Linked DNA regions of Notamacropus eugenii. Each later gene encodes a partner of the first gene's protein in a complex. Links are inferred from orthologs where the notes say so. Each region holds a gene or a part of one and is shown in the gene's direction. Other genes may lie near its edges.

What was found.
Region 2: the proteins of SLC39A7 (region 1) and METTL9 are in contact, whole or in part, in a crystal structure (PDB 8GZE), measured with the Homo sapiens proteins. The link is inferred for Notamacropus eugenii from reciprocal best matches to the Homo sapiens genes SLC39A7 and METTL9. Residues at the interface, in NP_001070984.1 of Homo sapiens: Gly65, His66, Thr67, His68, Glu69; in NP_057109.3 of Homo sapiens: Arg114, Thr115, Asn118, Arg123, Gly124, Met126, Met179, Asn210, Asp213, Arg214, Val241, His245, Tyr247, Glu249, Trp255, Tyr295, Leu296, Cys297, Glu298, Asp300, Tyr306, Val307, Leu308.

The regions. Positions count from the first base shown.
Region 1 is NC_092873.1:89,187,542-89,191,448, forward strand, and holds the start of SLC39A7 (zinc transporter SLC39A7), read left to right. Parts: upstream 1-1,418; 5' UTR 1,419-1,479; intron 1,480-1,528; exon of another isoform or gene 1,529-1,583; intron 1,584-1,784; 5' UTR 1,785-1,920; intron 1,921-2,193; 5' UTR 2,194-2,202; coding exon 2,203-2,781; intron 2,782-2,897; coding exon 2,898-3,066; intron 3,067-3,183; coding exon 3,184-3,255; intron 3,256-3,418; coding exon 3,419-3,568; intron 3,569-3,727; coding exon 3,728-3,871; intron 3,872-3,907. Other genes in the region: RXRB (retinoic acid receptor RXR-beta), read right to left, coding at 1-206, 1,271-1,289. UniProt on the Homo sapiens protein: Transports Zn(2+) from the endoplasmic reticulum (ER)/Golgi apparatus to the cytosol, playing an essential role in the regulation of cytosolic zinc levels.
Region 2 is NC_092874.1:396,486,210-396,490,116, reverse strand, and holds the start of METTL9 (protein-L-histidine N-pros-methyltransferase), read left to right. Parts: upstream 1-1,406; 5' UTR 1,407-2,243; coding exon 2,244-2,423; intron 2,424-2,657; exon of another isoform or gene 2,658-2,893; intron 2,894-3,620; exon of another isoform or gene 3,621-3,688; coding exon of another isoform or gene 3,689-3,721; intron 3,722-3,907. UniProt on the Homo sapiens protein: Protein-histidine N-methyltransferase that specifically catalyzes 1-methylhistidine (pros-methylhistidine) methylation of target proteins.

The DNA.
Region 1 (3,907 bases):
AGGCAGCCCAGGCGACCCCATGGAGGAGCTGATGACAGGAAAGGGGGAGCCAAGTGGGAGTTGGGGTGGGCCCCCTGTTCCTAAGAGGGATGAAGTTGCAGAGGGTAGGGGAGCCAGGGGGGGCCCAGGAGGAGAAGGGGGAGGGCCCCCCCGGGGAGGGGGTTGTGGGGATGAGCTCAGGGAGGAGCTGTCTGGGCTTCTACAGTCTGGGATGGGAAGAGAGAAGAGACAGAAACAAAGACAAAGATATAGAGAGACAAAAAAAAAAGAGAGAGAGAGATAATCAGTCTTCAGCAGGTCAACTACTCCAATTCAAATTCAACAAACATTTATTTAGAGCCTAGTATGTGCAAGTCCCTGTTGTAGGCACTGGGGTTACAAGATAAAAGGAGACTTTAAACTTTCTCCAACTCAAGTGAAGACACTTTTATTTGCCTTTAATCATTTTTTTGGTTTGCCCAAACCAGCCCCAGGCCAGGAAGAAGGCACTCCTTTTGGTTAGGAAGTTGCAGAGTGCTTTGGATTTGGGGGGTGGGGAAAGGGGAGAGCAGGAGTAAAATGAGAAACTCCTATTCTTCTTGAACTGGAAAAAGATTTGGGACCCAACTTAATGGAATGTTAGAGACCCTCTCGCATTACATATGAGGAAACGGAGGCCCAGAAAGGAAAAGTGACTTGTTCAAGGACCCCCAGCTGGTAAGGGTTGAAGCTAGCATTCGAACTCGGATCTTTTCCCTAGAACTGAGTTGGAGGCGTGGGACAGCGGCAGAAGGTCTACGAGTGACAGAAGGGTGACCGTGCCATTGAGATCTGAACTTGGCTGGGGTGGCCCGGAGCCTAGCCTAGCTGGTCTCGGTCCGGAGCCTGGTTCGTCCCAGTGTGGGTGGGAACACAAGTGCCGTTCACGAACCACCCCCCTACACAGCAACCCCAGCCCAAGCTCCGAGGTCAGGGTCGCCCAGAGGGGCAGATTGGAAGATGCTGACCCCTCCCTGACACGTGCTCCGCCCCCAGCCCTCCTCCTCTCCAATCCCTCCCGAGTCCAGCAGAGTGCTGTCCACGCTCCCTCGTCCCACTCCAGACTCTAGATTTCACGGGGAGCGAGACCCTCCCAGCGTTTGGATTACCCATAAACTGGGCGTTCGGCAGGGAAGGGGGAGGGGAGACGGTAGGCAAAGACACCCGTGGGTGTATGTAAAAGGGGAAGAAGACATGCAGATAACACCGTCGCTCGCCCGCCCGCCCTGGCCCTACCCTGCCGACCACTCACCCCGCCCGCTGTCGCCCATCCCGTCCCGTCCCGCTCCCCCCGGCTCCGGCTCCGGGGCTTGTTGTTCTCCGGCCGCCACCTCCACCCGCCGCCGCCACCACCGGGTCCCGGCCCCACAATGCTTCGCGCCACGCTCCCCCACAGGCCCACACTGCCCCGCGGCATGGGGGTTAGAGAAGGATCCGTGAGGGAGGGCAAAGCAACCAACGGTATGGTCCCCAGAAGGAGGTGTGGAAGGACTTGGGGGAGGATACCTACAGAACTCTGGGGTCGGGAGAGAAGGGCAGGATACTGCCAGGGTCTTGGAATAGGGCGCCAGAGCTGGCGGAACAAGGTACTTCACTTTGCCCTACTCTAAGATGGCAGCACCATGGTGGCAGACATCTAGGTAAGGACAGGAAGCCCTTGAGTTAGCTTCCGCCCTTCACCAAGATGGAGGAGCCCGTTCCGTTCTTTCCGGGTGGCCCACTTCCTCCGTACACGCATGCGTATCAAGGGATAAATTTCCCCGTAGCTGCCGCCGAGAGAGCCGCTGTCCGGGTAAAGAAAGGGGCGGAGAAAGGGTGGGACTTCCTCTTCTCGCGGGAGCGGGGAACGCGGGAGTGCCACGTCCGTCCGTGTGAACCGGGAGCGAGAAAACCCCGGCGCCGGTGAGACTTTAGCCTCCTTTTGCATTCAAAGTTTCTTTATCCTCTTCGGGTACCGTAGAGACGGTGGCTTAGAGGGAACACTAAACCGGAATTCCCGAAAACTAGCAAGACTTTCCCGGGGACCAGGGATTGGGGAGGGGGCAGGAGGTGGGTGCAGGTGGGAAGGAGACTGAAAGACTACAGACCATGGTTTGGGAGAATAGGAAAGCAACCATACTGGGAAGTAGACCCCTTGGATGGACCCAGAAGGGTCACTGTCTCTTTTCTTTCTAGATAATCGCCATGGCTCACGGAGCCCCAGGGGCCAGATGCTGGGCAGCTGTGGGGTTGGTGACTTGGGTTGCCTTAGAGCTGCTGGTGTCTGGACTTGGGGTCCACGCAGACCTGCATGAAGATATGCATGAAGATTTCCACCATCCTGGCCATGGCCATTCACACAAGGATTTCCACCATCATGACCATGGGCACTCGCATGAGGATTTCCATCATCCTGGCCATGGGCACTCCCACGAGGATTTCCATCATCCTGGCCATGGGCACTCCCACGAGGATTTCCATCATCCTGGCCATGGGCACTCCCATGAAGATTTCCAGCATCATGGCCATGGACATTTGCATGATGATTTCCATCATGGTCACAGCCATGCACCAGGACACCATGGCCACACACATGAGAGCTTTTATTATGAGTCTGACCCCTTGCACAATAGACAGTCACATGAAGGAAATGGACACAGAAGTCACACTCATGACCATGGACACAGCCATGCTCATGAATATGGACAAAGGTCTAAAGGCATTGGGGATTCTGAGGTTCTAGGCAGTGGGCAGGACTTGGACACTGTCAGTCTTTGGGCATATGTGAGTTCTCAGAGAATAATGGGGATAGTAGAAGGGGTTGTGGGGTGTGGGATCTTACCCTTGTATAGTAATTAACTCACACCCATGACTTATTTCCTTAATCGCAAACTTATTAGGCTCTGGGGGCAACAGTGCTAATCTCAGCGGCTCCATTTTTCATCCTATTTCTTGTGCCTGTGGAATCCAATTCCCCTCAGCACCGCTCACTCCTGCAGATCCTTCTCAGCTTTGCCTCAGGGGGACTTCTGGGAGATGCCTTCCTGCATCTGATACCTCATGCCCTGGGTGAGTGATCTCTAACCTTCATTGCCTTTCAATCTTACTTTGCCTCACACTTTGAGAGTCCCTATTGGCTGTGATGTTTATGTCACATGCTTGATATTTCTGACCTTCTTTCCTCAGAACCTCATTCTCATCATGGGGATATGGAACCTCAACTTGAAGAAAGGCCAGGACATGGACACTCTCATAGCCGTGAGGAGGGAATGGGAGGGAGGAATGGGCAAAGTCTGGGCCTGAGGTAGGGGGGAGGGTATTTGACTATCTCCCCCACTTTCCCCAACATTATGCCAGAGGATGTGGGGGAATCAGGGGACTATTTTTCTGTCTTAGCATCCTTCTGTCTCCCTGCCCTCAGACCAGGGCCCCATTCTCTCTGTTGGGCTCTGGGTTCTCGGTGGAATTGTTGCCTTTCTTGTGGTGGAGAAATTTGTGACACATGTGAAGGGAGGACATGGACATGGACACGGACACGGACATGGACATGGACATGAGCATGGCCAACATGGTAAGACTTAGAAATACCTCTTTCCCTATAATTCATTCTCCTGCCTTGGGATTTCAGGGGGGTGGTAGATATCTAGGAATCTTCCTGGCTTAGGGTTCAGTCTGTCTCTGAATGAAGTGGGGAAATCTCTTCATTCTGATCATTCTTTTCTTTCCTCAGAGTCCTCCAAGGAAAAACAGAGTTCAGATGAGGAAGAGAAAGAGAAAGAGATTGGAGGAGCAAGGAGGAGAAGAGGAGCAGGCAGAGAACCCAATGATGGTCCAGTGAAACAGCTTAAATGTGAAAAGGAGAAAGGAGGCTCAGGTGAGGGAGCAGGGACGGTGCCTGAGACATTCTGGA
Region 2 (3,907 bases), on another chromosome or scaffold:
TTGACCTTCTATTACATTTACTTTTAGCTAAGATTAAATGTATTTTTAACTAAAACTAAATATTAATTTTTAGGGCAGTTAGGTGTCCCAACGGATAGAGCACCTGGCCTGAAGTCAGGAAGATTCATCTTTCTGAGTTCAAATCTGGCATTTACTAGCTGTGTACAGATGTTCAGTAAGTTACTTAAGCCCTATTTGCCTGAGTTTCTCACCTGCCAAATGGGAAGACACTCGAAAAGGAAATGGCAAACCACTCTAATATCTTTGCCAGGAAAACTCCATGGACAAGTCCAAGAGGTCACTTGAACAATAACAAAATATCAAATAGGGTCTTTAAAAACCCTGGAAAGGAATTCTTATTAAAGAAAAATTTCAGACTTTACTAAAATTGGGATACCTTGCTCACAGCAAGATAATGGAATCAAGGGGCAAAATGAGACATGTTTTCGGACATGGCCAATGCAAGAACATTTTGCCTGTATTTTTCACAAGGACTTAGTTTTTCTTTTTCTTCTTTTTTCTCCAATAGAGGAGGTAACATGGAAGGAAAGGAAAATAAATTTTTATTTGAAACAATAGTTTTTAAAAGGTTTTAGTAGTATTGTAGAGATACTCTATTGTGGAGAGAACTTTTTACTAGTGATTTAATGCTAGTGCCTTCTAAAATGATCTTCTATATAATACCTTTCACCCCATCTGACTACCAGCTCCTTAAGGTCAGGGACTTTTAAAAGTGCTTTTGTTTTGCCTTGGCTTAGCACAGTGACTAACACACTTTCAGTTCAGTCGTTTCTGACTCTTCATGACCCACACTGCAGTGGTTTGCCATTTCCTACTCTAGCTCATTTTACAGATGGGGAAACTGAGGCAAGCAGATTTAAGGGTTGCACGGCTACTGTCTGAGGCTAAATCTGAACTCAGTAAGATAAGACCTCCTGACTCCAGACTCGATGTTCGATCTGCTGGTTTACCTACCTTCCCAACTGACTTATAACAGGTGGGTTGACGACCTTAAAGAGAGAAACACCTTATGATTCTTTGGGGAAATAACAACAATTAAAGAAGGATGTGGACCCTTTCACGCACACAAGACGGTCTGTAGGTTCAAGTGACAAGCGGCTTCCTGTCTTTACCCTCAAGTGTCCCGGCGGGTTCCAACACCCAGCCTGAGGTTCCCCAGTTTGGAGGGCACCCTCAGGCTTTAAGCGGGGAGAAGCCATCGTTCGCAAGCCCTAGGCAGCCTCCTTGAAACGCGGTGGAAGAGACGGGTGAGGGCGGTCGCCCCTTGTGCCAACCCTAGACCCCAGTGCCAACCTCAGGGAGCTCTGCGAGGGGAGAGGGTGAAAGCTTTGGTTTGTCTGGCACCTGCCTGCGAAGACCAAGGAGCAAAGAGTGGAAGCAGGCGACTACCCCTAGGACAGATGAACGAGAAAAGGGCAAGTTGGACAGCGCTGTCCGCGGGACAGACCCCCGCCTAAAGCCCCGGCCGGCATGGGCCGCGCAGGCGGAAGTGGGGGCGGTCCGCCCCGGCCCCTGCCCCGGTTTCTGAGGGGCAGAGGAAGAAGTGAAAAGGGCTTGAGTACTACCGTGCCTTCGGGAGCCGACAGCGCGCCTAACGCCCGCTAGGGCCCACTGTGCCGGGCCGTGCGCCTGCCTTTCCTTCCTCCGCAGCCACTACACAATGGGCCCGAAAGGGTTTAGCGTGGGGCTAAGAGGGGCCCCGCTGGGCAAGCAAGCGCGCTCCCGCGGCCTCCGTGCGCGAGCCCGCGCGAGCTGATTGGTTGAGGAGGCGCTTCCGGTGCGCGCACTGCGTCCGCGTCCGGCTTCGAGCCGGAGACCAAACGAATCCAGTAACCACGACTGGGGAGCCACGGTGTGCCCCTAGAAACGCGCTCCGGGCGGAAACCGCCACTGCCGGAAACGGCGTTCCGCCGAAAGAAGGAAGAGGGGCAGGGGTGTGGGGGAGGACTGAGGGGAGGGGAGAAGAAGGGGAGGGAGAGGCGGGCTGGGGTGTTCGCCGGCCGCTTCTCCCCACCCCCCGCCGGAGCCTCGGAGGGGCTGGATGGGTAAGTTGGGCGCGATGGAGAGAGTGGCCGCGGCGGGCGGCAGCGGCGGCGGGGGCAGCGACAGCGACGGCGGCAGCGGCAGCAGCAGCAGCAGCGGCGGCGGCGCCTCCTTCTCGCCTCCTTCCCGGCGGGGCTGAGCCGCGGAGCTACCCCGACCCCGCCGCCCCGCGGCCCCCCATGAGACTGTTCCTGGGCTGGCTGGGCTTCACCCTGGTCTCGCTGTGGCTGGCGAGGAGGATGTGGACGGGCACCGGCCGGTCCCTGCGGAGTCCCCTCGCCCGCTCCCTCTACATGAACATGATGAGCGGCGGCCCCGGAGAGCCAGGCGCCGCGGGCGGCCGGAAGGACAACCACCAGGTGGGGAGGGGCGCCCCGCGACCCCCGGGCGGCTGTCGGGGGGGGTGGTGCGTGTGCCCGGGCGGGAACCGGGGGAGGGGACCGGGGGAGGGAGGGGAGGGGGCGCAGCCATTGTGAGGGCCGGGGGTGGGGGCACCCGGTCAAGTTCAACCCCGCCCCCCGCCGCCGGACCGAGGAAGGGGCGGGCCCTGCCCCCGCCGCCGCTCTCCCCCTCCCCAGAAAGTTTGACGAGCCGACTCCAGACTTCCCACGGGATACCGGCCGCCTTCCCCCGCCCTTCCTCGGAGCGGTTATCCTCCCATCCCCCCAAAACTTGGACCCCTGGCAGCACCCTCCTGTGCACACACACTGCTCCCCTTCCCAAAATTCGGATCGGCCCCCCCATTTCCCTCCTCGCGCACACGCAGACACACACCCTCTCTGTCCCCCCCTAACTCGGACGTCCCCCACTTGCGGCGCCCTCCGTACACGTAGGTACACACAGACCCCTCCCCCTCCCCAAACTCTTAATGCCCGGACCCAAACCCTCAGTACTAGCCCCAGGCCCCCTGCTGGGAGGGGACCTTTTGTTAAGGAAGAAAGTGGGTGTTTGGCTGGCTGGAGACGTTGGCCTGCGCAGAAGAAAAATGGCCTTTTCTTCCCTTCTGCCACCCCCTCTCCTCTCGTCCTTATCTCGGCTTGGCCCCCCTCCGCCCTGCCCCACTCCCACTCAGCCCAGCACTGCCCGCGCTGCCGTCCCTTCCCCCCTCTGTGGTTCCGAGGCTGGAAGGAGGGAGTAGGTGGTATGTTTACTGTGAGGGCTTCGCCCCCCGTTCACTTTGGGGACCCAGGTATTCCCAAGCGCGGCCTCCCCTCTCAGGTTGTAAGATTGGAACTAAGGGCCGGGGCGCTGGAGCCTCCCCTGTCCAGGCCGCTGTCCTTGTCGTATTCCCGTAGTGTGGTTTGGGGTGTGATTCCTGAGGGGCTGAAGACTGCGGGGTTTCAAGAAACTTCAGCAGTCCAGCGTGAGCCACAGAACGCAGCACTTACTCTGGGAACGCTTTCGGACCGTGTGTGTTCTGAAATACGTGTAAAGGGCTTGAGACAATGCAGTCTCCTCTGGAAAAATGAGAACTCGTTTAAACTTCAGTATACGTGTTCGCCAGAGGCATTGTGAGAGGGAGAAAGGCGAAGTTATGGAAATGAGGCCTCTTAAAAGAACTCTCAAGTGCGTTTTTCAGATTTGTGTTCAGTATGACCTCTTACTGGCTGACACCGACTGGTGAATGGAACTGAAGTCTTTAAGATTTGCCTATATGGTGGGGAGAAGTTAACATTGCACCTATTTTAAAAAGAGCCCTTAGAACCCTTCCAGAGATATTATTGATAAGTATTAGGTAGACATCTTTTTGTCTGTTAAAAAAAGTTGCCAGTGTAATAAGACATCGTTGTTTTATGGTGTTGTAATTTACTATCTTGTCCTTCCTTGTCATATCAGGGAAGGA